Drosophila melanogaster: one gene and its partner. The protein of the gene in region 1 interacts with the protein of each later gene in a pairwise test. Each region holds a gene or a part of one and is shown in the gene's direction. Other genes may lie near its edges.

Evidence for each region.
Region 2: the proteins of PIG-S (region 1) and Cog1 interact in a two-hybrid assay, tested with the Drosophila melanogaster proteins (one large-scale study listed by BioGRID).

The regions. Positions count from the first base shown.
Region 1 is NT_033777.3:24,907,870-24,924,023, reverse strand, and holds PIG-S (phosphatidylinositol glycan anchor biosynthesis class S), read left to right. Parts: upstream 1-6,159; 5' UTR 6,160-6,260; coding exon 6,261-6,315; intron 6,316-6,514; coding exon of another isoform or gene 6,515-8,070; exon of another isoform or gene 8,071-8,184; intron 8,185-8,288; coding exon 8,289-8,379; intron 8,380-8,437; coding exon 8,438-8,577; intron 8,578-8,633; coding exon 8,634-8,831; intron 8,832-8,892; exon of another isoform or gene 8,893-8,964; intron 8,965-9,118; exon of another isoform or gene 9,119-9,190; intron 9,191-9,323; coding exon 9,324-9,518; intron 9,519-9,579; coding exon 9,580-10,197; intron 10,198-10,338; exon of another isoform or gene 10,339-10,442; coding exon 10,443-10,756; 3' UTR 10,757-10,808; downstream 10,809-16,154. Other genes in the region: Mink (mitotic spindle and nuclear protein), read right to left, coding at 1-1,372, 1,437-1,452; CG11168 (uncharacterized protein), read right to left, coding at 1,838-1,939, 1,995-2,126, 2,186-2,422, 2,484-3,292, 3,391-3,707, 3,977-4,100, 4,441-5,207, 5,269-5,372; sud1 (sudestada1), read left to right, coding at 6,261-6,315, 6,515-8,070.
Region 2 is NT_033777.3:12,209,925-12,227,069, reverse strand, and holds Cog1 (component of oligomeric golgi complex 1), read left to right. Parts: upstream 1-7,383; 5' UTR 7,384-7,465; coding exon 7,466-7,599; intron 7,600-7,655; coding exon 7,656-8,338; intron 8,339-8,406; coding exon 8,407-9,464; intron 9,465-9,523; coding exon 9,524-10,189; intron 10,190-10,383; coding exon of another isoform or gene 10,384-10,407; exon of another isoform or gene 10,408-10,437; intron 10,438-11,116; coding exon 11,117-11,236; 3' UTR 11,237-11,487; coding exon of another isoform or gene 11,488-11,643; 3' UTR 11,644-12,190; coding exon of another isoform or gene 12,191-12,259; 3' UTR 12,260-13,278; downstream 13,279-17,145. Other genes in the region: CG12256 (uncharacterized protein), read left to right, coding at 732-825, 887-1,488, 1,551-1,706; CG17404 (uncharacterized protein), read left to right, coding at 2,065-2,134, 2,198-2,793, 2,846-3,007; Rsbp15 (radial spoke binding protein 15), read right to left, coding at 3,108-3,629, 3,717-3,797, 3,858-4,336, 4,404-4,587; CG4860 (uncharacterized protein), read left to right, coding at 5,620-5,653, 5,715-5,954, 6,085-7,058; CG14742 (uncharacterized protein), read right to left, coding at 11,488-11,643, 12,191-12,259; CG4830 (uncharacterized protein), read left to right, coding at 16,765-16,905, 16,977-17,145. UniProt on the Drosophila melanogaster protein: Required for normal Golgi function.

The DNA.
Region 1 (16,154 bases):
ATAGGCCTTGCCTTATAGGGCGTAGGGAATCGATAGCCCTTCGATTTCTTCGACTTTGATACATTTGGCGAAGCTTCAGCGGGTAAATCTAAAAGGGTTTGGTCCTGATCATCTGATGTGGTGAGCACAACTTTAATAACCGGCTTCTCCTCCGGAATTTCCGGCTTCGGAGCGCAAACAACAGGCTGCATATCGGTAATGCCGACCAGAATAACACTTGCATCGAGGTCGGAGGAGCTAGCCTTTGGCTGCTTGTCGGGACTAACAACCAGAATAACACTTCCATCAAAATCTTTCTTGTCTTCTGCATCGTATGTGGTATTGAGAGGCGACTGATTTGGTTCATCCAGGCCATCACTTTCCATCAGTAGTGAGGGCATTTCTTCCTCTGCTTGCTCATCTACTGCACTAGCTTCTTTTAGTTTATCTTCAGCTGTTACTTCTTTGTCTTTATCAAGCGCAGCTGGTTTAGTTGCTTCATCTGCTTGCTCATCTTTCTCTTCATGTTTCTGACCATCCGTATCGGCTGCACTCGTTTGGGCTTCATCTTCAAATACCTCTGCGTTTGTTTTTGCTTCTCCACCTTGAATATCCTTCTCATCTTCTTCCTGGCTGTCCATATCCAGTGGGCATAAACCTAGTTCATCAGCTACATTTTGCTCCTTGGTGTCTGGATTTTTAGACGCCCTAGAAGACTTCTTTATCGATATTGGTTGCTCCAGATTCACTACAATGTCCGTAATATCATTTGCGTGATCTGGATCTTTAGTTTTAGACTTTTTAGAAGACTTCTTCGTGGATAGTGCCACTTCCTCTACTATGTCTGCTTGAACCTCTGCATTTCCTTCAGCATCCTGAGAAGGATCCACCTTTTTCTGTGGGACCTCCAACTCCGTGTCCTGCTCCTCATCATCCTCTGCAACTATGTGCTCTGTTTTCTGCTTCTTGGCGACCATGCGCTTGGACTTGCGACCCCGTTTGCGCGAATTTTTTCCCACCTCCGCGGTGGTCCACTTCTGGACGGAAGGCTCCTCGCCCTCGGGATCGGCTGAAAGTGCTTCGACGATAGCCTTCTTGGCGGATCGCACTATAATGTCATCGTAATCGATCGCTGGACGCACACTTTTCCGGCAACTACGTCTCGGAGTTTCGGTGTTTTGGCTAAGATGGCCTGGAGTGCCCGGTGTCTTCGGAGGATCGGGATGCGTGGGCGAATTCTTTTCCGAAGTGGCATTCATCCGCTTGAGGACCGCTCGTCGCGTTTTCCTGGCCACTGGAGTCTTAACAGCGTCTGTATTTTCCATCCTCCGATTGGCGTCCTCATTTTCCTGATCGTTCGGCGCCAAGACGCCGACATCGTTTGGGCGATTATCTTCAGTAATGAGGTGAAAACAATGTAGGTACTAGCAAGCATATGACGTTCACTAACTATTTACCAATATTAAGTTCCATTTTTAGCTGGATCTTTAGTTTATGTTTAAAAATAAAATGCCAATGATATTCAATCTGTACGTTTTTTTTGAAGCTGATCTCGTAGTGTTACCAGGCGCTGCTATTTATTTCCCACTAACTGGTATCGATAAACGAAAAATTCGATAAAATATCCCGCTTTACCCCTAAATTCAAAATTTTGCTTTTAAAAGCAATGTTGTAAATTTATTAAAAAACTCTCAAAATACTTAACATGTGAGCTGCCTTATGTGGAGCAAAGCCAGCATCGAGATGGCATCAACGACTAGCAAATGAGTAAAAAAAATAACTTTACGTGTGAAATGCAATGAAATAAATAATAAAAAACCACGCTCGGTGGCAATTGTGGCACTTCCATGGCTTAGAATTAGCACTCTTCGTTGAGGGACGTGCCCTGTCTGCTCAGAGCTAGCTGGTAGGCAACTTCGAAGGCCTGTCCCAGCGTCATGATGATTTCCTTGGCCAGTTCCTGAGAATTAATAATTCGTTAGCATGTTGAGATTCACCAGTCCATAAGTACGAACCAAGCTATCCACCATAAAGACGTGACAGTAGTGCAGGTCCTGTTCTTTGGTTATGTACGCAAAGTAGCGCAAGTCCTCCGAGTCCTGGCAAACACAATTTATGTTCTCAATGTCATGGCAACAGATGGCAGTCTAAAAGCAAGTTGACAAATATACATACAATATATATCAAGGAATTGAAATATGCTCACCTTTTTATCGTGGTCTATGAACTTGACGCCAACGCAGGATACAGCAATGTCCACATTGAGTCGTGTCTGATGGTTGGCTGCCTTCAAATACTTTGTGGAGGTTGTGCAGTTTTCCAGCAAGCTGAAATCACTAACGCTCGCCGCCGACTTTAAGTTCTCATCAATCTTCAGTTTCTGGATAGATTTTCGAGTGGAAAGGGTTCCTTGCAGTTTTCGAATGACCGTTGAGCCAAGATACTGCAAAACATTTATAGGTTTGAAGTATTTAATTTAAATACTTATGGCAAATCATACTCACAAACAGAGAGTATCGAATTTCGCCATAGATAAATGTGTATGGCGAGTGGCACCAATTGGAGGAGGCTGCGCTCGGTTTTCTGCCCAATAGCAATTCCGCGGGATCTCGTATGTGTAGGGACTGCCGAGAATCTTCTAAGGACAAGCTTGAAGGATCTTCTACAAACTCCTCGACTTCCTGCTCTACTGTGGACACTTCGTTGCCAATGTTCTCAAAAATGGTATCGATTTCAGCCCACACTCGGGACGCGCTGAAGTCTTCGCCCAGCGCTGAGTATCGCTGCTTTGACAGGCTGCGTCTGTGGTTTTGGACGTGGGCCGACCTCACCATGCTGGGTGATTGCAGAAACTCCCTATCTCCCGGCACAGCACCAATGCCATCCACCACATCCGAGGACAAGTTCAAAGTGGATCCTTTGAATAGTCCAGCAAAGGGTATGTCGGCAACGTATTCCTCCACCTGGTCAGAGCTCACTGAGTTAGTGGTTCGAGGGGATTCCGCCGGTTCCAGCAAACTGTTTTTGCGCAAAGTAGCCGGCTGCATGAAGTTGAAGATCGTGCGTTCCGCTTCGGTCACTGTGGGTGGTGGATAATCCGGCGTGGGCGAATGGCGAACCAATCGCAATTTCGTGCCATTACCATTGCTATTATTGTTATTATCAACAGCTGCCACGCAGCTGCCTTCTTCTATTGGCACCACATTCGCATAGTCGTTGTATTCGCCGTTTATTCGAGTGCGTGGTTTAGGAACTGGCGGCGTTGGCAGCTTCATCTCCACGTACGTAGCCACCGCTTGTTGACGCACCGCAGCTGTAAATGGACACAAAACCAGATGTTTATTTGCCTGACTCATTGGATATTCAGGTCTAGTGACTTTCGAGTGAAATAGTTAAAGGTACATTACGTACAGTTGCTACTGGTGCTGGCGGAGTTATCATCGCTGTGGGACCCGTTCCTTAGTAGATTTATGTACTCATACGATCTGGAGGGTACGGATCCATTGGAGATGTCGCTGTCCATCCGAAAGCTGGGCAGCATGGGTTGCTTGTACACCGGCTTATAGCTGGTCAACAGATTGCTGCCATTCGTCCGAAAGTCGCTCATGTTGTCGCAGGACTTCTGGTGAATGATGGGTTTCATTTGCAGGTAATTCTCCGGCGGCTTGGCAAAAATGTCCAGTGAGCTTAAAGAGTGCGAAAGTCCGTTGGCTTGATGATCTTGCTTTCTACATGGTGAGGGGTGAGTATGTGGTTATTGAAAAGAAACCAAACGAAACCAGACCAGTTAATTGAAGAGACGCACAACCGATTCTGAAGCTGATTCTGATTCTGATGAGTGCTAGGGCTAGTGGGCGTGGACATGAGAGTGGGTGCGAGTGCGAGCGGGGATGAGTGCGTTTTCCGAATGACATGAGCTGCGGGCTAAGTTAATTAGGGTCAGCAGTGATGTGGGTGTGTGTTTCAGTGTCACTGTGCATGGAGTTGCTGGGCTTACTTCCTCTGCCTGGGCGGCACCTTCTGTCGTTGCGAGTTCTTCTCGTACAGCCGCTTCGGCAGCGATTGTGTGCCGTTCTCTACGACAAGTGGCTTCTGATGTTCCCTCGCCGCTTGGGTGAACTCTGCAAAAGATCGTGGGCGTTAGTGGTTTGGAGGCACTATTAAAGATTCAAATAATAAAGCCTGTTGAAATCGTTATCAATTATTTACTGTCTGCGCTTACTCACATAACTTCAAGAATATATTTACAGCTTTATATTAGCAATAAAATAATTTCGATCTTATTTGGTTGCCTTCAATAAATAGGGTGTAACATTTATTACAAATAGAGTAAATAAATGTTTTGAATTACAAAGCTTTATGAAGAGCTGTATTAACTTTAGATATCAGTAAAGATAAGCATTTCCAGCCACTACCCATAGCCCCTTTATTGTATTTCTTCTACTTCTTACTCGTACGCACCGTTTATGGCGCCCACAATGTCGTAGGTCACATGCGGCGGATAATCGGAGAGTATGTCCAGGGCTGTGCGTCCGTTTCCATCGGTGGCGTGTACGTAGATACCGGCCTTAAGCAGAGTGACCACAACGGACTTTTTGCCACAGAGAGCCGCCTCGTGGAGAGCGCTTCCAGCGTTGGTGAGTATGTTGACATCGACGCCGGCCGCCAGCAGTGTTTCCACCACCTTCTTGTGCCCATTCCTGCTGGCCAGGTGCAGGCAGGTGTGCGTGAATATGTGCTTTATGGGCATGCAGCCCAGCAGCTCTTCATTGTCATCTTCCAAACGCTTATACGGCAATATGAGGTCGGGATAAACACGGAGCAAGGTCTGAACCACCTGAAGGCGTCCGAATTGCGCTGCCAAATCCAGAGCCGTTTGAAAGCTATTGTTGCGTATGGCAGGATCGGCGCCATAGGACAGCAAAATGGCCACCACGGCATTGTGGCCATGTTGGGCGCCTGAGTGCAGCGGCGTCTCGTTTTCGATAGTCTGGGCATTCGGATTGGCTCCCGTAGGCGAGTGCATCAACAGCATCTTGACGATGTCCTGGTGCCCAGCCCAGGCAGCCAGAAATAAAGGTGTCGAGCCACGTATATCAGGCACATCCAACAGCGCGTTGTGGGAGAGTAGTAGCCGTACAATGTTGCTATGCCCATTTAGACAGGCGTGATGCAGCGAAGTGTAGCCATTCATGTCCTGGCAGTTGATGCTGGGACTTCGCCTAAAACTGTAAAGGAAAACCTGTAGTAAACTACCTGGAATAACAACAGTTGCTGCTGGTGACTCACCTGGACAGCGGGCCATGTCGTTTGCTCGAGTGCTCCAGCAGTTTGTCCACCGTCTTGATGTCGCCGGCTCGCGAAGCCTCCAGCAAATGCTGATCCTTGCCCATTGCTCCTCCGTATCCTCCAACACTAGGTAGCTACACAGGAGCAGAAGAACACATGTCAAGTTGTTTAGTTTAGCTTTTGCTCCGATTCCAACACAATGAGATCATCGCGAGCATACAGAATACCACAGCCCCAGCCCCACTCACACCCCCAACAAATCAGGTGGCAGCCAGGCGGAATCAGCTGTTTGGCCCTAGCACGCACAGACTGATAGCCAAATATTTTTTTTATACAAAATAGCTGTGAACATTCCACAATAGTATTTTTGTTTATAATATGGAGGGCTGAATGGTGGCTCCGCCTCTTCCAAGGTCATTCCACGGCATTGGACTGCTCCAATTGGAATTTCTTTGTCACCAGCTAGGTTTTATCTTCAAGTTTTAATTTACCGGCTATGTCCACGTCCGTTTCGAAAGTTTACAGCCATAAACGAATAACTATATTTGCCACCGCGATAAGCAATCAACAAAGCTGTGATCTAAACTTTATTTACGTGGAGCCGATCGAGCAATTGTTCGTTACTAATTGGCTAGGGATGGAGGCGTGAGGCGACGACGAAACACACGACACTCACGTACAATCAGTGATGATCAGTATAAAATGAAAGTGTGATTAGTGAGTTGAATGCTAATGCTGAATGCCTTCAATATATTATTATATTATATATTATTACTTATATACGCCCTTTATTGTTTACAATATAATGCCAAAAGTTTTTAGCTACTAAACTTTAGCTAGGTATTTGATACTGCGTGGAATAAGCTAACTACCCAACACTTGCACAGAACAACCGATATTTCCGAGCTACCATCTCTAGCTGCACAAGCCAATTTTTTTATTTTCCCTGGCAAAAATTCACGTTTTTAACCGAAAATTTGACTCACAGCATCATGGAAACCTCGAGCTCCAGTCCAGTAAAGCCCAGGAGAAAAGACAAGGACGAAGGTAAGTGGAAACAGTGAGAAATCTGCCCCAAAACGATAAAGCGAGGTGTGCCGGCACATCGGTGCCTTTGATTTTGCCTTTGCCTTTGATAACGCGTGTGTGAGTGCTGGTGTGCGTAAAAAATAGCCAAATTAAAGTTTAAGGTATGCCCCTGTTTGCCTCGCTTAATGCAAACCCATTCACTATGTTGCCCTTGCAGATGGTCGTGCAGAGCAGGAGGATTCCGCAGATCAGGTGGGCGAGCCGCACAGGAAGCTTTTGCGCCTGGGCGACATCCTTGAAACGAACGAAGTGCTCCTGAACGAGGCGTATCAGCAACCGGAACTTACCAAGTGGCTCCAAACAGCCTGGACGGAGGAGAAGAGCCAAGGGACCAAGGAGACGCAAACCGGTGCTCAGGTCTTCTCGGATCCCTTTCAAATCTGCCTTCTGCCCGGCATGCTGGAGAAGGGCCAAAGCCAGGCGCTGGTCGCCGAGATCATCCAGAAGGTGCAGTGGTCGCGCAAACAGATGGATTTGTATGAGTTCTACCAGAGCGCCGACCTCTCCAACATGCCCGCTTGCCGACTGTTGACCAACTTCCTGCAGGTGCTGCGCAAACAAGTGCGTCCCTGGCTGGAGAAGGTTACCAACCTCAAGCTGGACTATGTGTCCGCCTCCTGCAGCATGTACACCTGCGGCGACTATCTGCTCGTGCACGACGATCTGCTTAAGGACCGACAAGTGGCCTTCATTTACTATCTATCGCCTTGGGAAGGAGCGGAGGAATGGACGGATGAGCAGGGCGGATGCCTAGAGATCTTCGGTAGCGACGATCAGTGCTTTCCACAGTTTCCAGTGCAGCGAAAGATCGCCCCCAAAGACAACCAGTTTGCCTTCTTCAAGGTGGGCTCGCGCTCCTTCCACCAAGTAGGCGAGGTTACTACATTCGACTACCCGCGTCTTACCATAAACGGATGGTTCCACGGCGATACCAATGAGGCCTTCGTGGCCGACTCCCTGCGCGCCTTTCCCCGCCTGAATTACCTGCAACCTGATGGCCTTAATAGGCCACCGCTTGGCCTGTTTCTAAACAACGTGTATCTAAAGGGGGCCACCCGCCGGAGCATCCAAAAGCGGATCGAAGAAAACTCCGAGATTTGTTTATACGAGTTCTTCAAGCGAGAGAAATTCGAATTGGCCCGGTCGCAGCTGTTGGCCGATTCGGATACCTTGAAGTGGCGAAGACAGGGACCCGCAAACGCACACAACTATGAAGTGCTGGATTTGACAACAGCCAGAGGCACCATACTGGAACTACTGCAACTGTTCCGTAGCCACGCCATGTTTGATTTGCTGCGAGATTTCACCGATCTGGATTTGGCAGGCACCGATGCCGAAAGTCCAACATGCAGCGTGGAACTGCAGCGCTGGTCCCACGGCAACTACACAGTGCTGGGCGACGGTTTGACCAGCGAGGAGAACACTTTGGACCTGGTTTACTACCTGAACGCGGCAGAAGGAGCAGCGGTGATCACATACCTCGCACCCGACGCCGAAATGCCAACAGCAAAAGCACCGACGGACGGAAGGCGATCGGACTACGATGACGAGGAAGAGGACGATTCCGTTCTGCTTACTATCACGCCGGTGGACAACGCCCTGAACATAGTATACCGGTGCGAGGGCACCACCAAGTTCACCAAATACGTGTCGCGCAACACGCCCCTTGAAAAGGGACCTGTTTTTGTTATTTCGTGCAGCTACAAGGAGTAGCATGTGATCCTGTTTCACAACATGCGCACAATTACTCGTCAAGGACTATTAACATTCATACCGTTCTCCTGTACAGAAACTAATTTACATAATAAACTTTATAAAACACAAATCAAAATATTATAGTTTTTTGTCGAAGTAATAAAGTGTGAACCCAAAGAACGCTTACGACCGCGATAAATCAGGAACTAATCAAACACTTCTCTTTAACTTTACAGATAAGTTCCGGATCGGGGCTACACTAGCATTTATCGTGGTCATCATTGGAATTGGCGTGCCCATGTGGTGGCGCACCACCACAGTCTACAGGTGAGTCAACCATGTCTGGCGGCGTTTTTCCAATTATACCTAAATGTTGCAATCGCAGAGTCAATTTGCCCTCGACGGAAATTTTGAGTCTGAGTAAAATTCCGATCAAAACGGCTGTGCAGGTGGCCATCTACACACAACAGACCAGTCGTGGCCAGTTGCTCATCGCCGAACTGCAGAACGCCTTCAGCGACAATGGTAGGTGCAAATTCATTATCCATTCATATTTCTAAACGGCATGCATTTCCCATTAGAAATATGGTCTGTGGAATTCAAGCAGCTATCTCCTACGCCAATGACCCAGGAAGCACACACGCCAGCTGCTCTGGAGAAGCTGTTGCTGGAGAACCATGTCCAGAGCGTTGGCGACTTCATGTTCATCGAGTGGCCCAAACTGCAGGAGGAGCTGCTACTAACCACCGAAAGATCGGCACTGATGCGAAGTGATACACGTGAGTCTATTGCAATGATACGGAAACACTTGTTGGCTTTTTATGTCCGAAGTTTTTAAGGTCCTCGATAGTATAGTGGTTAGTATCCCCGCCTGTCACGCGGGAGACCGGGGTTCAATTCCCCGTCTGGGAGAAATGAGATTTTCATTTTTTTTTTTTTTTCAAATCTTTTATTGTCTGTTACTTCACCTTCTATTATTGAAATAATTCTAAAAGTAGAAGTATAGCGCATAATTTATTATTTACATGATAATGCGGTTTTAAAAAGAAATATATATTTTATCGGTCTCCCCGACGGGGAATTGAACCCCGGTCTCCCGCGTGACAGGCGGGGATACTAACCACTATACTATCGAGGATTACGAATGCTTTCGAATACTTTTAATGCCCAATGAAACCCTTTCCTTAAAATTTCAAGGACTAAGCTAAAATTACTCTAGTAAATTAAAGATTAGTTAGCTAAACTAATAATGCTGTTTTAACACCTCCTAGCTTCCAACAAAATCGCCCAGCTCCTGCACGCCAAGATCCTGCAGACGTATCGCATAAATCAAATTTTAAGTACCGATGAGCGGATGGGCGCCAAGTCGGAAGCTCCGCAACCAGCCTACGATGTGATTGTCTCTGTCCTGAATCCGAAACCGAGACTCACCCATGCCAAGTGGAACATAGCAATGGCTGTGAAGAGTAAGTATTGAAAAACCACAAAAAGTCTTCACTTACTTATGCCAATTTACATTTTCAATAGCTTACATTGAGCCCTGGTTGGCTAAGGTGTCCGGTGTTTCCAATTACACGGTGCGATCGCAGTGGAAGTACCGGGTGGCCATCGAGGCTGATCTCAAGCAGGTGCGCGACCAGAGCAAATTGGGGCGACACTACGCCCTCCAGGAAACCGCTCTGCCTCATCTGCTGACATCGATTGCCCAGAATCTAAGCGCCAGCACCACCGACAAGCCGGCCATCAACCTGGTGGTGTACATTCCACCGTGCCACATCGCTCCGCTTCACATCTACAACAGCAAGGATCAGCGGCTGACGCGGAACGACGTGGATGCCTTCATTTCGCCACCCTGGGGTGGCTTCATCATTGCTAATCCGCCAGAGCATGTGTGCCTTGCGGCCATGAGCGATCAGGAGGCAGTTCCCTACCATGTCAGCACCACGGACAACATGCAGGTGATGCTGGACCAGCTGCACAAGCTGCTCGACATCAGCAGTGAGCTTCAGATGGAGGGCGTTAAGGTGGTGGATATCGAGCAACTGGAGCCACGTCGCTGGGAGTATGAAGCATACCTAAGACGCAGTGCCATTCGACACATATCCACAGCAAGCAGCACGCTCCAGAGCCTCATCAAACTGTTGGGTACGTTTTTAAAGATACCAATGAAGGATGTTTAGTCAACATTTTTATTATTCCTATTTCTGATATTATACAAAACTCAGGGCTCTTCGACAATTAAAAATGAACTATTTGCAATTTCCGCTTTATAATTAAGTAGCTTTTAAAATGGTTGACGCTATTTTTATTGAATCTGTACTGCTTGAGAAGTTTAATAACCACCTTAATTGGACAATATTATTTAATAATCGCTTCCTCCTCTCGTTTAGATCAAATCAGCTACATTGTGATAGACGACGAGGTGGGTGCCGCCATTACAAATTCCTATGCCGACATCTTGGCTGCCAAGGCTGCTCTTTTGGAGCACCGACTGGCGGACGCTTCGGTGCTGGCCAAGCGTGCGTTCGTGGCCTCGGAGCGCGGATTCTTTGACGCCAGCCTGCTGGCGCAGTTGTACTTCCCGGACGAGCAGAAGTACGCCATCTACATTCCACTCTTCTTGCCCATCATGGTGCCTGTACTGAGTTCCTTCAACATGCTGCGTGGTGTGCTGCAGGCCAGACGGAAGGAGAAGCAGTCGTAAACGAACCATAACCAAATAGTATCATCCCTCATTAAAACAATATTTTCTTTATAAGCTGTTACTGGTGCGATTTATTGGTTCACTTCGGTTTTACGTAGAACATGTCATCGTCAGGGCCTCGCGGTCGATTAGATTTGCCAGTTCTATAGTATTCCAGCATATTCAAACTGTAGACTGCCGCGCATAACAAGTAGGTAGAAATTATTCGTGCCAACATTTTGGTCTATGAGATCTTAAAGAAACCTGGTGGAAATGGATTTAAAACTCAAAAATTTTGATCTGTCATAGAGAGTTGAATGCTTTGAAAACAAGTCCACGTGCCACTAATCTTTCCCAAAGTTTTCAACGTTGGGAGTGCTGTATTTTGATGCCTTGGCTGCTGGCGGACCAGCACGGTCCGCTCAGCGTGTGAACGGCGCGTATAGGTCAGGTTCAGCGGCGAGATCGCTGCCGGATGAATGTCAGACGTGGCAGGAGGCCAGCCAGACACGCAGTCGGTGGGTGAGTCATATATTGCCAATAAGTCTTGTTTCCGACTGATTTCAAAATATCACTTACCGATTATAATTACTTGCTTAAAGGAATGCTTATTCTATTAGCTCATCATTTTCATTAGTTAGTGATCAATAGGTAGAATTTAATGGTTTTTCTGTTTACCTCCTTAAATTTATTGTTAATTTGAAAGTATGTAGAGTTGGAATTTTTTTTAACAGTTTCTCACAAATATTTGGAATTTGTGGGTATTCTTGAATGTGAGGTATATCTTTTTAAACTAGACAAAGCCATCGCAATTGCATGCCATTGCAAATGCGCAGATGAAGGCAAACGAAAAAGCTACAAAAATGCGGCTGTCAAAACTCGTTAAACATGGAATTCAATTGGCAATGGGCCCCCAAAAAGCAGATGGAGGGGCTGAGGGCGGAAGACCCTAAAAAAAAGGGGGCGGGGCCGGGGTCGGCGTCAAACTTTGCGCATTAAAAGTAAACAGTTAATTTTTAATTGCTCACGGCTCGTTGGCTCTCGACAAAAGAGATCTCTCGGCATACCAACATATTCGACAAGTATTTGTCTTCCCAAAGGTTAAATATTATTTTAATGAGCCGCGCAGAGCGACAGGGACTTCAGAAGAGACAGAAACCTTTTCTCCACGCGGCCCCAAGACCGCAAAAAGGTCAACAATGTGACTTTTAGCGATCGCCAAATGCCGCCAACCAGCCAGCCAGCCAGCCAAGTGGCTTTGTGTCATGGTTTTTGTGCCATGGCGTCGGCGGCATATGGTGGATCTACCCAAATCGGAGTCTTCGCTGATTCGGGATGACGCCTATTTGCAGCCTATTGGTAATTGCTGGCCGCAAGGGCCATCTGCATTTCCGGGCCACCGAATTGCTCCGGCGATCGTGTATCGTCTTTTCCCACACGCACTTAGTCACGGCAAACCGCACGCACGTAAGAAATCAATTGAAACGGACTCGATTTTCGAGTTGAGTTGAAGATTTGGAGTTGGCCAGCCGAAGGCTAACACAATAACGAAACTAATTTTGATGCGGTTGTTAAGTGTTGCCAAACACCCAGGCAGCTTAAAGTGGAAAATGGGCAGAGGAGATTTGTCCGATATAAAGATGTTGCAGACAATGGATGGACTCCGGCACTCTGGCACTCGGGTACAACAAGGCGTATAATTAATAATTGATTGAGCCGCGTTTTCCACAAACAATGAATGACAAGGGAGGCAAGCAGGCAGCTGCAGTTGCAGTTGCAGTTGAAGAATTTCTTGGCCCGAAAATGGCACAAAGTACTGGGTTCGGAGGAGCAGTGGTGGCAAGATTTGGAGGCACACCAGGTGTGCCTGTGTGCCCATAAGTTGCCTATATGGCTGGCGAACGTAAAAGCCACATTGCCAAACGTTTACGGCCGCAATTGTAATCACTGTTTGACCAAAAGTGCACTGCTCGTTGTCGCTGATGCACTTTTTATAGCTCTGGTGCATTCCCACCGCTAAGTGAAATTAATAAAAATCGCCTGCACCAAAAACGTCAATGCGTCTGCGCAATGTACATAATTTGTTTAATTAATTACGCCAACACATTTTCATTGCTGGTTTATTGGGCAATTCTCGTTTGGCTGATGAGCGGTGATGTGATTTTTCACATAAAATGGCAAAAAAAAAGACAAATGGAGACTCGCACTGAAACTATAACAGCCATTGAAAGCCGAACGGATTTGGCAGCTTTCGAAAGATTCAGACATCGTCAAAGTGGAAGTGGATGCTGCACAGATGTTGCTGCTGCACTGATGCTGCTGCTGCTGCTGCTGCTGCCGCTGCTGCATCAGCAACATTCTCAGCTTGCCCCAAGGCCACTGGCATTCTGTCTGCATACGCTGACTCAAGATCTGGTATTGAGGATCTGCGGCGTTTTGTGAGTGGCAAGTTATGGTTGCAACTGATTCTGACCAGAAATGCTATGCGATCAAAGTTCAATACTCCACTGGAGAGGAATAATGAATAATTTACAGCAGACCAGTCAGGCATTGCCAAACATGCAAGTGATTGTGGAACAATTAACCAATTTGTTTCGGCTCAATAAAGTGGAAGCGAACGTTAAGCTAATATATAAAAAGTTATACCCGGCTACAGCATCAAAACTATCATCATCATCATCATCACAATCTGATGCGAGTGGCAGCCATGGGAAAGAGTTTCCAAGCTGGAAAAGTGTCGATGCCGACAAACCCCAAGGACGCTGGCTTATAAAACAAATAAAGCGAAATGTATTATACTCGTACAAAATATTACTTACCCTTACCGCAGTTTGACATAAATGCCAATTTAAATGCTGCAAAACGCATAAATCAACAACGAGCGTCTAGCTCTTTCGTACACTGAAAGAATCTGCTATCTGCTTGAAGGGCTGCTTTTTCTAAAGTTTGAAGTTACTACTTTTAAAAAATATATAAATTACATGTATCGTAAAATATCTTTATCAGTTGTAGTTTGGTTCAAATGGAACGTAATGTAGTTGCATGAGCTCAAAGTTTTTTCTCGAGTGTACTTGCTGTTGTGTCGCTAAAAGTTGCTGCTGTTGCGGGCTGATGTTGCTTTTGTGCCTTGGCGTTGTTGTCGTGTTTTTGGCAAACAAACGATCAACAAGTGGCGCTCCTCAAAAACGTTTTTGTGCAAAAATATTTGCTGGCAAAACGAAGAAGACCCATCGATGGGCAGAGTTTTTGGAAAAATGTAATGTTGCTGCTGCGGCTGCATGGTGACAAAAGCCGCCGTCTAATTGAATTAACATAAAATAAAAGTTGTCTTGGCAAAGCGCAAGCTCAACATCCTGGTCAGTAAGCTAGCCATAGCATTGGCCATTTGGCATTTGGCTCAGAATCTCTGGCCAGAATAATCACGAACAATGAAGACTGAACGGCGGAAAGCTCATTAACATGATTACAATGAAGATTCGACTGCATAATAATTCACACATATTCCGGCATTACGAAAAGTGCATTTGTATGGGCATGCAATTAGTCACAGAGACCGCAGCATCTGCAAGTTGGAGATCCGAATTCTTTACCGCCCGCCGACGCCACCGCTCGTCCCATTCATTCCCATAATTTAGCAAATATTTTTTTATTTTTTATTATTTATTTTCCCATTTTGCCTCTATGTACACGGCATAGCAACTGCATTGGTTATAACATTTTCTCACGTTTCGTCGTGCAGATTTCGGCACAAGTTGCGCCTTGGTGTGGCCGATCCAATGCCTGGGATGGCATAGTATGAGATCTCGGTTGGCAGTTGCAGTGTGGTGGCTCCACAGTTCCATGCCTCCATGCCTCCATGGCACTATGGTACCATGGTGATAATGATGATGGTGGCGAGGTCGCTGGATCGGCGGAGGCGGGCGACTAATGCACATTTTATGCAAATTTCGAATGCGCGATCCCCGTGTTTTGGGTTTGCTTATGGCAGCTTAAGTCGGTTTACGAGTGCCAGTAAATGCAATTTAGAATGCTTGAATCTATTGACTGTCAATAGGCGCAGATATTAAACCTGTTTGCCTATATGCCTAACATATGTAGATCGCAAACTAAATTCTTAAATTATATTTAGGTTTTCAACACCACATAATATTTATAGCAATTAATTAATATATAGCAATTCTTGCTTTAAATTCAGAATGATGCAGCACCTTAATTAATTTTATATTAATTGGGTAAGATCTAGTCAATTTTGTTCTGAGAATGACTACAAATTAGAATTAAACCAGTTCACGCATGTCTTAATACAATACATTCGAGACGGAAAAAATAATTAAATTATATGACTTGTCAGATATCTATAAAACCCGACACATAAATAACTCTTTATAATGCTATGCCTATTAACAAAAGTTCTAGTTAGAAAAGATCTCTTACAACAGATTAAAAGCAAGTTCGTTGCCTAAGTCATTCGTTTTTATGGAGACTTTTTGCGTTTCTCTTGCATATTTTCAAATGTGCCGCATCACGGCAATGCGTCAAATTAGCCAGGCAGTCCGCTCACTGACCACTATCCGACTGCCTGACTGACCCATTCCAATCCAATCCCAGCGAGCGCCGCTGAGCTTTGATTTCGCAAGCGCCGTCGCATCCATAAAACTGTAAATTGCACAGCTGCGTCTCCGTCTCCATTTGCGGCTGTCGCTGCCACGTGCAATCCCCGAATCCGAATATGAGTCGGAGTCCCCATCCCAATCTCAGGCAGCCAATGCGAAATTATATGTGTGTAAATACATTTATATGTACCTATGCAATTTCTTATTATGAGCGGTACGCTGCCAAAGGTTTTCCAAGAGCTGCACTTTATCAACGGGAAAATCTGCTGGCAGCCCATGCTCATTGCTGCACAATTACTCAACGACCTGGGTTTCCAATTCCCGCTCGAGTCCCAATCGCAATCCTCGGCACTCGTTAGTGCACGCAGAAAAAAAACTATAGCAAGCGAAAAAGAAATAAAGGTGAATCCAATTGAATCAAGTTCAAAATTATTTGTAGCATGTTCTGAAGCTAATTTCTTAACTGTGTGTTCGTATAGTTTCATTATTTAAATTAGTATAAGATTGATTTTAAAATATTACAGTTTTTTCTTTCTGTGAAGTTTGCACTATCTGTTGAATGGTTTTTTTGGCATTTTTTGGCGCGTTGCTGGTGGGATGGATGGGATGGGATCGAGAGTCGAGAGTCTGTTCAGGCGCATCTTCAGCTTAATTGAATTTTAGCTGCTGCTGCAGCTTCTGCTGCTGTTGGTGAATGCATTTTCCACCGGCTCCCACACGTTGTGCAAATGCTTTCGGCACTTTTACTGCACATCGGGCTTACATAATGAGTAAAAATTAAATAATTTACCCAGCCAATGGATTCT
Region 2 (17,145 bases), about 13 Mb from region 1:
GGCTGCAATGAAGCCTGATTTGCATCGAACATGTGGATGGCCCTGGATGGAGCTCCTGTCTGGATGCGAAGCTCAAACTGCAACTGCCTCCGAGGTGCCCGAGGTGTCCAAGGTGCTGATTGCCAGCGGCAGGTCTCCTTGTCTCCTTGTCCGCACAATGAATTAAAAGAAATGTCCGCTGCCGTGGCAGGGGCTTGTTTAATCGGAATATTTAAATTATTCGCTGATTAAAACTCGAAGGCAGATCGCTCTGAAAGGAGGAGGTCTTGGTTAGTAGACTGCCTTTTATTCTGATGCTGATTCTCTTAGTACCTACGTCCTAACTTTGCGTAGGTGTTATTCTCGGGAATCGAGGTAGCTCACTCATCACCACAGATCTTTAGATGATGTATGGGTTCCAGAAATAGTTGGTCACTTAAGCTGTGATTAAGCAAAGGTAGTATCTATATAACCTGTTTAAGTTGCCTTCTAAGTGAAATAAGTCTTAGTTGGTTTATACAACAACCATTCCCAATTGTCTCCCCTTACCTACTGTCGGTTCCTATCACATAGACCATTGCTATCGCTTCCCAGCGACCTTGTAACCCATTACAAGAGGTGGGACGACCGCCCACAGCTGCATTTGATAAAATTCAAATGAATCGAGCAGAACGAAAAGCCCCAATTAATTGGGACTCTGGCATGCCTATATAAACCTCGGATGCACTGCTAGTTTCAGGCTCAGTCTAACCATGAACGGAGTAACTTATTTTGTGCTACTTCTTAGCTCTACTTTGTTAGCTCTAGGTGGAGTTCAAAGTAAGCCCATGGGCAATGTCATCGATTGTAAGTGAAATTTATAACTTAACCAAAGAGTACTGTATACATTTTTCCACGATTATCGCAGTGGACAAGTATTTCGAGGAGGCAGACCTTAATTCCCAGGAGCGAGTTGTTGGCGGTTACGATGTGCCAGAGGATGAATATGTTCCCTACCAGGTGTCCATGCAGTTTCTTACCCGCAGTGGAAAGATGCGACACTTCTGTGGTGGATCCCTGATAGCCCCAAATCGCGTCCTTACCGCTGCCCACTGCGTCAATGGCCAGAATGCCAGTCGAATTAGCGTAGTTGCTGGGATTAGGGATCTCAACGATAGCTCCGGCTTCCGATCGCAGGTGCAGTCGTACGAGATGAACGAGAACTACCAGGAGCTGGTGACTAGTGACATTGCCATCCTCAAGATCGATCCGCCCTTTGAGCTGGACGAGAAGCGTGTGTCCACCATCGACGTCAGTGGATCGGACATGGTAGGTGCCGATCAGGAGGTTCTCCTCACCGGATGGGGTTCTGTCTTCCACTTTGGCACAGGTCCTTTCGCCAAATATCCCACTGTACTCCAGAAACTCGACTACAAGACACTGAGCAATTCCAAGTGCAAGGAGACGATGACCCAGCTGACGGACACAGAGATCTGTGCCTTGGAAAGGTTTGGCAAGGGTGCCTGTAATGTGAGTAGTATATTCAAGTGGAAATCGAAATAATGTTAGCTAATTTTGAAATACTTTTTAAGGGCGATTCTGGCGGTCCTTTGGTGATGAAGAGTGGTGAGTCCTATAAACAGGTGGGCGTCGTCTCCTATGGAACTGCATTCTGTGCCTCGAACAATCCTGATGTCTATACCAGAGTGTCCATGTTTGACGGTTGGATTAAGGAAAGAATGGTCTAAAGCAATATCACAATGTACAAATTGTCAAAACAAATATTGGAATATCGATCGCGAGTTATTCAAATATATTCTGATAAACTCTACTTTACCAAGTCAGTCAAATGTGGCATTATCGTTGTCCGTAAATATGTCTTGCAAATTCGTAATTAGATATTTGCATACCAGGTATCTGGGCTGCGTTACCAGCAGAAGCTCTCATTATAATTTCAATTTCAAGATCAAATATAATGGCATAACCAAGTAGCCAAGGTGACCCAGATATTTTGCGATACATATGCAAATTCTTTCGCCAATGTGGGCTAAGCTCTTATTTAAGAAGTGTGGCAGGTGCAAAGCCAGTGGCATTAGCCAAACAACGATGGGTCTAACTGAACAACTACTGCTGATCGGAGTTGTAGCTTTGGGAGGAGTCTTCGGGAGACTGAATTGTGAGTTTGAATTGGAATCAGTAACTCAGAATCCCCTGGTAACAGACGTGTATATTGTTAAAGCTCGTCAACCCAGTGGGTATACTCCACATCGTATTGTTGGAGGCGCTGACATCCCACCAGGCGAACATGTGCCCTACCAGGTTTCGCTGCAGTACAGAACACGCGGTGGTCAGATGCACTTCTGCGGTGGATCCATCATCGCTCCCAATCGCATCCTTACTGCAGCTCACTGTTGTCAGGGTCTCAACGCCAGTCGCATGTCTGTTGTGGCCGGAATTCGAGGACTGAACGAGAAGGGTTCCCGCTCCCAGGTGCTATCCTACAGCATCCATCCCAAGTATCAGGAACTGGTTACCAGCGATCTTGCCGTGCTGTCCATCAAACCTCCGCTGAAGTTAAATAACTCGACCATTAGTGCAATTGAGTATCGATCGCAGGGGAAAGACTTCGTTGGTGGAGGAGTTCCAGTAACCTTGACGGGATGGGGCCTCCGCTTACCAGTGCCCTTTCCCTTCTTGGATAATGTGAACTATCCCAATGTTCTTCAGCGCATGAGTTACCACACCATCTCGAACAGTGAGTGCAGGAATGCGGGCATGGAGAGCGTTACGGATACGGAGATCTGCGCCAGAGGACCTTTTAGGGGAGCCTGTTCGGTGAGTTGGATGATAATACACTAGCTAGATCATAGATTGATCTTGTTTCCAGGGCGACTCTGGCGGTCCTTTGGTAATGGAATCCAAAAATGGATTACAGCAAGTGGGCATAGTATCCTACGGGCTGGTGGTGTGTGGTCTATACATCTCTCCGGATGTCTACACCAGAGTGTCTACCTTCAGTGACTGGATAGGAAATCAAACAAAATCCTGAAGGAGAAGAGGATTCCAGCACTTTTCGATCAGTTTATTCACTTGCAGATAACATCAATTTAACAACTAAGGGAAAATTAATAAACACAGCATGGTTTCATCTACTCAGCTGCGGGAGCTTCTTCTGCGGGAGCTTCTTCAGCGGGAGGAGCTGCTCCCTCTGTCGGAGCGGGCTCCTCAGCGGGCGGTGGCGGTGCCGCTGCTTCTTCTGGTGGTGGTGGAGGTGCCGGCTCTTCGGCGGCTTCCGGTGCAGCCTCTTCTGCTGGCGGTGGGGCAGCCTCCTCAGCCGGAGCTGGTGCTGCTTCATCAGCAGGCGCCTCTGCTGCAGGAGCTTCCTCCGCTGGCTGAGCTTCCGCAGCCTCTTCATGAGCTTCTGGCTCTGCTATAGCAGTGGCCGAAGTTCTGGCCGTGGCCGGAGCAGTGCCTGGGGCAGATGGCGGCACAGTTCCGGGAGCAGTTGGTAATGGTGTTGGTCCGGCTGTTATCGCAGCAGTTGTCGGTACTGTCGAGAGATTTACGTCGTCATAGCCATCCTTTGCTGTATCCGGTGAAGAGCTAGCATCCACTTCAGTTGGTTCCGTTGGTTCGGCACAGGGGTCTACGATTGGCTTGGTAACCACGCGCTGCAAATTTGGCGTAAAAAATTAAGAAAAACAGTTTAAAATATAAATATATATAATGTAAAATAGTTTTTAACTCTTGTTACATACCAACATAACCTTGCGGAAGAATCTCTGAAGAACGCTCGCTGCCTGTTCCCTGCGCTTTTCCTCCCCGTCGTCCTCTTTTTCCTGTTGGATTTAAGTCATAACCAAGTTTAGGGGCAGACTTTTAGAAGTAGATTCACTTACCGCTGCGCAGACACAAACGCAAACTTCTTGCGGGAACTGGAGGCGAACCCAGTATCCTCGCCAAGCCGCCTGGATCGTGATGGCTGCCTGGTTGCGCATGGCCTCGTTGATACGCTTCAGTTCCCTGTCCCGGAAGTACTGGTAGAGTAGCTCCGTTCCATCGGCTCCACGTTCGGCGGACATATAGGCGTCCACGAAGCGCTTGTAGGCACTCTCGATGGCCGGCCGTGACATGACCAGCTCCTCGTCGGTAAACTTGCACTTCTGCAGCAGCTCCTCTAGGATGTCCACATCCTCGAACTTAATCGCCTGCTTGCCACGCCGCATCTCGCAGCGTCGTTTCTCGAGGAAGTTACGGAAACAGTCCTCTAGAACCTGGCCCATCAACTCGGACTTCTCCTTGGAGAGATCACAGACACAGAGGTCCGATATTATGCTGTCCACCTGGCGCAGAGAGCGATCCAAAATGGTCTTGGCCACTGTAAGAAAATACAGGCGTGCGTAAAGAAAAGTTTGATACTTTCTACATCCTGTGGGAGTACTTACCCATAGCCTTTTCCCTTGTCACGATCACCGAATGTAGATAGTCGATGATGAACTGGCAGAGGCACTCTTTCTTCGGCTGACACCTTAGCACCTCCCGTGTAACATCTGATAGAAGTTCCGGCAGACCCTCTGGAACATTAATCGCCTGCTGGCGCATCTTGCCACGCTGGATCAAGTAATTCATCTTCGTTTTTCAAAAGTATAAAGCAAAATTCTATAATTTTGAACAGTTTAGCTGAGAAGAAGATAATAATTCGGAAATGGTTCAGTTTTGAAATCCCTTTTAACCGGTCTACTACGTTAAGAGCAAATGAAAATAATAATTTACAGCGCTCTACAATGATTTTTACACGGACTGACTGCGAAATACCTTGCTGATGTAAGGTGCTCAGTTCTGTTTACTTAACCTAGATGGCGCTAGCAAAAAGCTGGTTTAAATGTTTAAATGGTGAAAAACAATAATGGGTTATATATTCTCAATTTGATCCATGAGCTTAAATGTTTCAAAAAACTGTCTCACACGTGTTCCTGAAAATTCCCAAAGTCCACTAACTTTGTAATATGTAAGTTGAAAAATTGTAATGTGTACTTGTGTTTCATGTGGGTAAAATGCACCTTGTACCTTTCAATGAAAGTGGGTGTGTATCGGAAATTAGCATTGCCTAATTTCGTATTCAGCCGGTATAGGAAATCAACAGGGTTCTTGGTGGATTCTTCTTTATCGAAATCCATTGAACCGCTTTCCCTTTCTGTTCTTTCAAATGATCTTTAACCCAGAAACTTGGTAATTTCACAAAGTTAGCGCCAAAACAAAATACTTTCGATCATTTTAGGTAGTACTATATAGTTGAAACACTTTATACGAACACAGTGGCGCAGTGGTGACTTCGGCGCTTATCAATACCATTTTTAAATGAAACTTTAAAATTTGTTAAAAACCGATTATAAATTACAAATTTGAAACAACTAAAATGATTTTAGTAATTCTTATACTCAATTAAAATCAATTTAAAAGAACCATTTTACAAAATCGATTAGTAGTTTTTAATAAACGGGACCCCCTTTCAATCTCCTCCCATGAACTTCGCCTCAAAAAGCTGCGTATAAAAGCTGTTTTCCTCGGTTGTATTTCGATCGGCTCGTCGACGAGTGCGAAAAAGCTTTCACTACCTCGATCGCAACCGGCACCACGGGCTTGGGATCAGTTGGCGACGGAATGCAGCAGCTGATCAGAGTGGCGCGGACGTTGGGTGAGGAACTGGGTGATTCCCGGCTGACTGGATGATCGATTTGCCGCCTCCGTCTTTGCAGGTCAACGCTCGAGCGGCGCATGGAGTGCGAGGATAATCGCTGGTGGAAACCGGGGAATCGCATGCCTGGCCGCCCTCTCCGAGACCCACCAGATTCTCCAGAAGACTTGCCGGGAGTTCGCCAATGCGGAACTGGCCCCCAAAGCGCGACACCACGACCGGGAGGAGCTTTATCCGGCGGAACAGGTCCGACGGTTGGGAGAACTCGGTCTCATGTCAGTGACGGTTCGAGAGGAGTATGGTGAGTTCCTATTTCAATTATAATATTTACAATATTTACATAACATAAAATATGTGATGTTTTCATTTTTGAAATGGTATATAAATAGATCATACTACTAGATTCCATTCATTAAATATTGATTTTTCAGGTGGTTCCGGATTGGATTACCAGGCCTACGCGATTGGCATGGAGGAGGTGGCTCGTGGTGACGCCGCCGTGTCCATTGTGATGGGCGTGAATAACCTGTACCTGGGTGCAGTGCAGCAGCATGGAACCGAGCAGCAGAAGCAGGATTTCCTGGTGCCGTACACCCAGGGTGAGCACATCGCCTTCTATGCACTATCGGAACCTGGAAACGGATCGGATGCAGGAGCTGCCAGCACCACGGCCAAGCTGCAAGGGGACAGCTACCAAATAAACGGCACTAAAGCGTGGATATCAAACTCCAAGGAGGCCAGCGGGGGTATCGTCTTTGCCACGGTGGACAAGAGCATGAAACACAAGGGAATCACTGCCTTTCTTACGCCCAAGGATGTTCCAGGACTCTCCATAGCCAAGAAGGAAAGCAAAATGGGCATGCGCGCGACTTCGACTTGCCAGCTGGTGCTGGAGGACGTTCACGTGCCGCGATCCCGGGTCCTTGGAGCTGCCGGTGATGGCTTCAAGATCGCCATGCAGTCCTTGGACTGTGGCAGGATCGGTATAGCCGCCCAGGCCACCGGTATCGCACAAGCTGCCCTGGAACTAGCCGTGGATTATTCGCAGAAGAGGGTGGCCTTCGGAAAGCATCTGGCACGGTTGCAGCTCATCCAGCAGAAGCTGGCCGACATGGCCACGCGGGTGGAGATCTCAAGGCTGCTAACGTGGCGTGCCGCTTGGCTGAAGGATAATGGGCTGCCAATCACAAAGGAGGCGGCCATGGCCAAGCTGCATGCCTCCGAGTCCGCCACCTTTTGTGCCCACCAGTGCATCCAGATCCTGGGTGGGATGGGGTACACCACCGATCTGCCTGCGGAGCTTTACTACCGCAACGCCCGCGTCACAGAGATTTACGAGGGAACCTCGGAGATCCAAAGAATTGTGATCGCCAACGCAGTGCTGCGGGAATTGGGAAAGGAGTGAAAGCCATTGTTGGTTTTTCTTTATTACTGCTGCCAAACCAATCAGAATTCTTGCTTTTACACTTGTTGTGTATGTAAATTAGTTTATCTATGCCAGACAAATGCATTTAATAAAGTATATTTAAACAAATGAAACCTGGATTTAGAAAAATATCTTTTTTCGATTAAATGAGGTAATTCCCCTAACTATAACTCTTTATGTTATATTGAAATGTAACGGCTTGCACATGACAGCATATCTAACATTTTTACCAACAGAGAAATGTAAACTAACATAAATTTAACAGTCATAGACAGTCATGAGAGAAAATATCGATGTTGCCAGTCATCGATACATAATTCGATTTTATTACAGCTGCTCCCTTGTTATTGTTTTCTTAATTTAAATAAAACTAATTTGACGGCTAAATGACGGCCAATTTGTTAAACCTGAACGTGGACACGCTGTTTGAGCAGCACAGCGTGTCCGAGATAGACGAGGTGCACAAAAAGATCCAGTCGGTGGTGGAGAACAAGCGCGAGGAGTTGCGCACTCATGTCGGGTGAGTGATGTGGCACCTTCAGAAGATTTGCTGCTTAAACATTCTAAATCTTTAAGGGAGCGGTACCGAGATCTTTTGCAGGCGGCTGACACCATTGCTGCGATGCAAACGTCGGCCGGGACACTTATGGAGCAAGTGCGACACGTGCAGGCCAATTGCCGCAGTCTAAACGAGCAGCAGCTCCTGGGCTTCCAGTCAACTGCCAATGCAAGTGCTAAAGATGCCGCACTGAAGGAGAGGAACGCCGGAAAAAAGCTGCAGACCTACTACGGCACCATGGCTCAGATTAAGTTGCTTACTGCCCTGCCGGAACTAATCTGGACGCACTTGGACAACGATCGCTTCTATGCCGCTACTGAGTTGTTCATCTTCAGTCGCCACATCAGCACGGGCTTGCAACTGGACGGCCAGAGTGCCCTGATGCAGAAACTACCGGTAGCGCGCAAGCAATGGGAAATCCTGCGTCCCTTTCACGTGACCATCAAACAAGCCATACTGACCGCACTGGAGAGGGAGGAACTCCTACAAGAAATGACTGTGGACTGCCTGCAGAGCCTTCTCTTGCTAGACAAAAGCGATTTGAGTACTGTGCTGAAATCCTTCTTGAACCTGCGCTCCTCAGCCTTTCTGAACTGCCTGCAAAGCGGTCCATCGGAGCCACGTCGCGTCAAGGATCGCATTTTGGCTAGCTTAAACGTGCTCAACAGCACCGTGGAGCTTCTGGACAAGTGTCTTTTGGGTATGTTTCCATTCGCAGATAGGCACACAACATTATTATTGGAACAATCGGTCTTTTCTCTCGTACAGGTTATAGCCTTCTTTTTAGCCGCTTGGAGGAGTGTGCCTCTTCTACGTGTCCACCCAGCATCAACCGAATGGAGAGTAGCGAGCGCCAGCTGGTTCATCTTTTACCCGAAATCATCGCTGGTTTTAAGCCACAATTTGATGTACCTCAGCTAACACCTGAGCAGTTGGGTTCTTCACTTCAACAATGGCTAGATAAAATGAACGCCTTGGCAGCGGCTCACTTGCAGCAAGTCTTTGCACTAGTCACCAACATGCAGACCATCCAGGACATTAAGTCCGCGGCCAGAACTAATGGTCGACCGGATTTCGTTCGCCTAGAACAGCAATTGCATCTTAAGCGTAGCCAGTTAGACTTCTACGCCAGAAAGTACGTGCCGTTGATCAACGCCAGAGTACGAGAGATAATTCGCAGCAGCTGGGCTTCCGCCATGAAGCTGACCTACGAACAGGTACTATTGCTTATTGAAGCCGGTCAGTCGCAACCGCCTCTACAAATTTGGCGGGAGCAGAGCGATGATTTGCCTTTAAGCTTGGCGGCAGCACTCAGCGATCAACCAAAGCGACTGGCAAATCGGACGAAGGGCTATGACGGCGCAACAATAGAACTGTGTAAACGTTTTGACTCACATCTGGCGGATATCGTACAGGAGCTGAATGTGATGTTACAAGAACAAACGACGAGGGCTGAGGACAAGGTTTCACTTATCGAGTTTCTGCGCGAAACGGCCGAGGAACAGCTGACAGAGTATTTATCCAATTTGAAAGGTTTAGAGCTAAGGGAACGCCCTGCTCTGCTCCTGGCTTTGAGGAATAGTCTCGCCTTGGTCGAGCTGTGCCCCAATTTAAAGTTGTGCTTCTGCCAGCCGTCCAGTTGGCGGCAGTGGACTGACAACTCGGCGGGATTGGGAATTGAGCATTGGCAGCGCATTTGTGGCCTGATCGAAAAGGAGATGCTATCCTTTTGGCTGGTCATCGTTGACGATGTGTTGGCCGGCCACAATTGCGAAGAGAAACTGCCAAAGGTCATTAATCATGAAGTGGTTCTCAGCGACTTTGCGGTAATTATATGGAAAGAAGAAATTTATTTGTAACGTAACATAATTATATTCTTGAGTAGCTTTGGCAGACCTTGACACTGGAACAGCGCGACGAGGACCAGGAGCAGAGTGTTCAGTCAACCATTCGAATCCCCAGTCAGCCGCGACTCTCTCTGCAGACGTATCTTCATCAGCTAATTCAGGCATTGAATTCGGTTGTTCCCCAAACTCTGCCACCCAAGGTATTGCAAGCATTCATTCAGCGGCTCATAGGGAAACTGCTCTGCCACTACGAGGGATTGGCCCACGCGGAATGCACCAAAGCCAGTCAGAATATTGCCCTGCAACTATACTTTGATCTTAAGTTCCTGGAGCGCGTGTTCGCCATTTCACGTGAGGAGAGGACTCTCTACGACCAAATCCACGCCCAGCAGAACCAACTGCGCGACTACATAGATCCCTTTGACTTCGAGCTGTTTGCCGAGCATATAACCGCTCATGTGTCCCGAGCTGCAAGCCGTCTGCAGGGTGAACTGGGAGTGCTTACTCCCTCGGCAGCTGCTCCCAGTCAGGGTGCAGCTGCTGCCAGTTCTTTGGCCCATGAAGCAGATCCCAATGTGCTGTGTCTCAGTTCTTCCGGATCCACGTCGCTGTGGTTCCCGCTGCTGCCCATTGTGATGCCCCAAGCTGCCGGAAGAGTTACTAGCGCAGAGCGGAAATCTCCGATCCAAGAGCCAGTTGAGAAAGTGAGTATAAAGTGTGATGATATAGAGGGCTGTCGGTGTTGGCTTCAAGAGTATAAGCTTTACTATTTGGTGGTGTATTTAAAATTCTAAATTGATTAGCTGAAGCATTAAACCGACAGCCCTAATAGATATAAAGTTTATCTTTTACCAACTTTATCAAGTTATAATGCTACGTTCCCATGTTTCTTTCCTAGGATTTCTATCGACTGCATTCCTAAGTCAATAGTTTCAACATTTGCTCTGGTTGGGTAGGAATGTTATTTGATTGTTGATACTTTGTTATCATTCCTCGTTTGCATGCTGCATGATATTGATTGTTTAGCCAATACTTATTAAGAGTGAGCAAAATAGCCGCATTGCTCTTATTAAGTGCTTCATTTCCAAATTTGAAAACCTCTTCAAGCTGAAGCAGCAGTTTAATTAAACTAATTTGGTCCATCCAGCAATAAATAAACCAGAATGCCGCAAGACAAATTTTAATTAGGTGCAACTTTCTGCCGCCATTTCCCAACCACTCCTCCCTACTTCGTCCGCAAGTGGTTGGCAAAAGTTTCGCTTGAAACCCAACCCGAAATTTCCAAGTGGATGGCCAGAACATCGGCAGAATGATTATGTATATATTACGGGCGCGTATACGAGTGCCTTAGATGGTAATTAATGAATCGCTGCAATTATTGAAATCAAATCGCTGGGCAAATGTTAATTTATGGCAGTGGCTACTTGGCCGTTACTCGCATGTTTTGTAATTAGCTGCGATCTCCGCCGGTATAAATCGTTCTCTAATTATGTTTGCTTTCCATTTGTTGCTGTTCGCTGCTCGCTATAAATCTGAGAGTCCAGCGGCAAATTAACAGATTAATCAGACAAACTACCAATTAATAGTACTAATTAATTAATAACATCTCCCATTTTATCCCTCTATCTCAGACGGCGACAACGACGCCGACGAGGAAGTCGGGTGGCAATGGAGCCCGCAAGGGAGACAGCAGCAAATCCAAATCGAGCGCAGCTTCCTTCTTTGGGATGTCCCAGGAGTGGTTTCGCTAGAGGATTCAAATCAAGTGGCCTGTGAAGTGCATTCGAGCGGAATGCGGATGGGATGCTCTTCTATTGTTAAGCTTAACCTACATAAATATATCCGAACGTACTTGTAGTAGAAGAGGCGGGCAGCGCCCAGTAAATTGTAAGAAAGTCACATACATTATAGAGATACTCGTATATACACCCTGATATCACTTTTAATTTCAACTTAACTCTAAATTTGTAATTTTTAATGCGCTTTGATGTTGCCACGGTTGCTATTTCTTGCCTCCCTTCTTGCCACCGCCTGCGGCTGCCTTTTGGTCTTGTCCTTTCTTGGCTCCACCTTTGTCACCGCCGCCTCCATCGCCGCCTTTGTTTTTATTTCCGGAGCCACCTCCGCCGCCGCCTCCGCCACCACCGCCGCCCTTTTTCTGTGGGCAAAGAAACACGGAAAGATTTCGCTTTGAGCTGGGACCGAGCAAATAACGAGCCACGGTTGTTTAAGGTTGCCCAGCGAAGTCAGTAAATGAGAAAAAGGTTAGTTGTGCCAGGATTGCAATGGGGGGACCCTTGTTCCAAAGCACCAGGAGTTCTCTAATTACATACAGCAGCAGCTATTATCCGCATGATAAAATGTAATCTAACCATTATTTGTGGTCTACAATAACGTATTAATACAGGTAGCACGAAACACCTTCCTAAAAAACTGTATGCAAGGCTTAATCTCAAAGTTAATAGTTCTAGTGCACTAAAGTTTTTTTTTTTAATTTGGCAATGCTTTTATAAATTTATGTTTAGAAAGTTGGTCAACGAATTATTTTAAAATTGTTGGAAAGTAGGGATAAAGTTAAATATTGTTAAATTGCTACTTGGAAGTTTGGTGGGACCATGAGCTGAATGAGCTGGCACTAAGATGAGGATTACAAGTAGTTAGACTCACAATTAGAACGCAAGTTGCATAACACAAATATTGCTTACATTGCCCCCGCCTCCACCACCGCCACCTCCTCCTCCACCGCCGCCGCCACCACCCTTATTTTTGCCCATTCTATCAACTTCTTGGGAAGGCAATTATTTTATTTATTTGGTTTAGTTTGCGGTGCTTGCTGTTGGCTTTGGCTAGAGTAAACTTATGCCAGAGCTGGCAAATTGCAACTAATAAGCATCGCCATTGCCGCACAGCGAAATACATGAAATTAAATCATTTGGCCAGAAAAAGAAGGCCAAAATGAACGTTGAGAGCAAAACACAAAATGCGCAACAGCCAAAGGCGGAAGGGAAAGGCGCCAATGAATTTGGGCGGCAATGGGAGAGGGGAATGGGTTGATTGCGATGACCAGGGGGATTTGGCTCCGGGTAGAGGAGACCTGGCTGCAATGGCCAATGGCTCTTAACTGATTTAATCACCGCCCGGGCACCTCTCTTTGCGGCCGGAAGAAATGGGAAGTGTTTCTCTTGCGGCGACCGTTGGATTATTTTGTAGTGCTTCTCCTCCATCGCTTTTTGGCTCTTTGCTTCCGATTGCGATTTCGATTCTGTTTCTGTTTCGGTTTCGCATTTGCATTTGGCCATATGCGCCCATGGCCATGGCATTGACATTGGCCACCTCTCGCATTTCTGGTCTGCGGCCAATGGAAGGCAATACGTCGGTAATCCCACGGCTCACTCGCGAATCCCACGGATACGGACAGTGCAACAAGATGCTATTTATAGATGCAACGCGAATTGATGGTGGTGATAGCCTAGGCCAAGAGAGATTTTGGCGGATTTCAATCGGAAAGAAATGGCCCAGAAGGCGATTGAAAGCGCTAATGTATGCAGAAAGGGAAGAACAGGAAGATTGAATGAGGGAGATAAACCAAGGAACGGTAGAATTGATTATGGGTCTAGGGAAGTAATTTAATTGGAGACTATGGGCAACCTAAAAAAAAGTTAATCAGCACAGATATGCCATTTAATCTCCATCGCACTTTCTTATGTATAATATCTGATTTTTATTATTTGCATAGACTTGTTTAAAGTTGTAATATAAGTATATTGAACATATTTAATAAAGCTTACCGAATAAACTATGCATATGAATAACTTATCCGACTGTTCCTATGGCCGGTATATACATATATCATATATCTGGTTTTGATTATATAATAATCATATATTTATAATTATCTTTCAATAGACCAAAATGTAAGCATTACATTACAAATTTGGTTACTTTTATCATTGATAAATCATTTTATTAAATTAAATAGCATTTGTGTTTATCAAATTACATTGGATAACTTTAAAACGAAAAACTTACCATGCTGATTTAACTTTACTGCTTTAATTACTACGCCAGTTCAGCAGGCGGATTCCTAATTGGACTGGAATACATTTAACAGCTTTCCACCTGCCTGAGTTCCAAAGAAAACTATCCGAGTCTGATTTTCTTCATATGCTAATTACAGTTATCAAAAAGTTTTTCTGTCGCTGCCAACGGACACTGGAAACTCAATGCATACATAATGAGACATTCTACTTTTCCTGCAGCTTTTCCTTCGGCTCTCCCACTTTTCCCCCCACAACAGATGTTGGAAAATGGAGAGCGAGCAAGAGAATAAGTCGGAACACCCGTTGGTGTCAGCTAATTAAATTAGATGTTCTATATGGTGAGCCGTAAGTGAAACCGATATCATGCAATGAAAATGAAAGCACCACGACAAGGAGAACTCAACAAGTCGAAATCTGCACATGGCAACTAGCGCGGAGCCAAATTAGAAGTGAAAAGTATGAAATAAGCTCATAAAATTACGCTCACACATGCTCGGGAAAACGCATTTGCAGCAAAGGAGCTGGAAAAGGGGGAGGGAGACCCGTATCCGCAGGCGAGGCTAACAAAGTCGCAGGTCCGGACATTTGCTGCAGGTGCGGCAGGCGAAACTTGCACCTGAAAGATAAACCACCTTACCTGGCGAGCTGGACAGACACTTTGAATTTAAACGAAATGGGCGGACTTTCTGGGAATGGCTAAATACATACGGAAAAGCGAGAGAGACAGTCGGGATAAGTAAGGAATTGGCTCTGTAGAAGTGCGGAACTTTAATTAAGTTTTGGTTCTCCCAGCTGACTGACATCTTGAATTACAAATGAAAAACTTGTGTGCGGCAGCCGAAGGGAAAGTGGCCAAAGGAAACGGGTCAAAAGAAGCGACACAAAAAAGATTTAAAAAAAGTGGTATAAATAAAAATAAGAGAGAATGCTATAGTCGACTTCCCCAACTATCAGATACCCGTTACTCAGCTAGTGAAAATGCGATCGCGAAATTTCATAATTTTTCTGGGAATATTAGTGTATAAAATTAGAAAAAATTTAAAAATTGTTTAAAAGTGTGGACGTGGCAGCTTTGGGCGGTTTGTGGGCGTAAGAGTGAGTGACGGACATAGTCAGATCTACTGGACTACTGATCCTGATCAATAATATATGTACTTTATATATACTTCTGCCTGTTACATACTTTGCAACGAATATAGTATATCCTTTTTCTCTACGTTACTCGTATACCAGTAACGGGTATAAACATGAAATGAAAGAAAAGTGAGTGAAAAACCAGGAAAAACCAGTGCATAATAACACACTGAACTGCAAGAGGTGGAGCTGCAGGAGCAAAAAGCAGTTCCTGCAACAGAATGCGAATAAGTTGCACAGCCAGCAACTCACGAAAAGAAAATAAAGAAAAGCCGAACCACTGGGCGGGAAACCCAAACAACTACCTTAGTCTGTTAGCCAGTTAGCCGCTATAAGAATACCCAACTAACTGGGACCGCGAACATCTTTCAACTGGCTGGCCCTTAAAGTACGCGGATCCCGAAATCGAACAAGAGCAGCAGCGACAAAAGTATGTAGTTCCATTCATGGACAGCCAGAGGAAATTCTTCCGGCAGAAGGGTGTATACGGATACGGAATACCCTAAGATAAGCCCGTTCCGATTATCAAATTCGATTTCCTCCGTTTCACGTAATTTGCGGCCGGGATGATAGTTTCTGCTCGGAAAAATTAATTCCCCACTTCAGTTCATAGCCCGATAAGATTACCACAAATCAAAGCCAACCAGAGTGCAATGTCTGTGATGTCGGGTACATAAACCACCAGAGGAACCTTATCAAAATCCCATTAAGCCATTACAACTAAGCCCACACTGCGAGCGTCGTGGACTTAGTTCCAGGCACAACACTATCGTAAACATACTTATACTCGAATGAAATGGAAAGCTATATAGTTGTTGAAAATCAGCTTTAATGATCCGATGCGAAGGAATTGTTACTAAGCGTTGGGAAGTTATAAATTTTTTATCATTTAAATAAAATTAAGTGCTTAATAAAATGTAAAATGAGGAGTACCCAGGATTATTTTATTTACCAAGGTAAAACCCTTAGAGCAACCATAAGTCTCCTGTAACCGGAACTTTATCTGCGAACGAACTTCATCATCGGCAGCCTTGCCACAGAATTGGGTTTTAGTTCACGTGCCACCGGGAACGGAAAGTTGATTTTCTCTGCCGGCTGCCATTGCTGGAAAATCAGGAAACAGATGTTTGCAAATATCTTGCAAGCGAACTTTTTCGCCAAGGTATTTAAATAACGTTTTCGCTGCACCAACTTTTTGTCAGCCGCAGCGCGGAAAAACGTCAAAATAAAGGACAAAAATGTAAGAAAAACCATTGAGAGCTGGCTGAAAGAAAACCCATTCAATTTCACTGAATGGATTGTATTTCATTTGGCGGAATTTCCCGAATTATCGTGGCTTCGTTGAATAGGGTATCATGTTGTATTCATATCAAAAGGCCGGCTAAATATATCTCGAAGTAATCCGAAGGTAAACATATTAAGAGCTCGTGTCCATATCGATAATCCATTGGTGACTAATTAAAATGTGGGAAAAAAATCAAACTTTCCATTCAGTCTCCGGTATCACGCATTTAAAAGTCGTAAGGTATTCCCAGATTAAAGTCCAAAGGTTATTAACCAAATTTCAGTTGCCCCAAAAAAAAAAAAAAACTACGGGGATTTTTAGCATTGATTTCCATTAATATTTATATCTACATAAAGCAGAGACTGAAGGGCTTGTGTTTAAAAATAAATAGCATCTAATGACAATGATTTGTTTTCTGTCGTATCATTACGTAAGTATCGCCGATAAGGGGGAAAACACAACCCGGAACGAAGATAAAACCCTCTGGCAATTAGGGATGGGGCTGTTCTCATTGACCGGCAAGTGGCCAAAAGTTAATAGCTCTTATCACGACTAAGGACACCCTTCAATTAAAGAACCCAACGCACGCCATCTGATTAGTTTCAATAAATATATGCATACATGCCAGTCGGGTGGTCAACTTTGGTCAATGCCTTTTATCTTTCATTGATACCTACCTTGCACTTAACCTAGGCCATGCTTATCATCTGCAGATAAGCTCTTGGGGATTCGTGTCTTTATAAGTAGCCCCTCCGAGCGAATAGCTCCACAGATAGTGGTCGATCTTTCGGGTGTGCATTCAACCTTTATTGCAGTAAAAATGTCCAAGTTACCTTGCAGCTACGATGCGGAGAACAAGATCTGGAAGGGTATTCCGCAAAACAACCCCTTCAAGCCGGAGACCTCCCTGGGTCGCATCATCTTCAAGAACATGAGGAACTGGCCCAAGAATGTGTGTCAGGTGAGTGAAGTGGAGTCCGACCTGCTCTGATCACTTTCCTGATGTTCTGTGTCATCCCTATGTATCATCAGATTTCCGACTCCGAGGGCGTGGAGGTCACCTTCGGACAGGCTCTCACTTGGGCTATTCGCATTGCCCAGCAACTGAAGAGTCGCGGTCTCGACCACAAGGATATCATTGGTATCTCTGCCAGGAACACCACCTACATTATGCCCACAGCCGTGGCCTGTTTCTTCCATG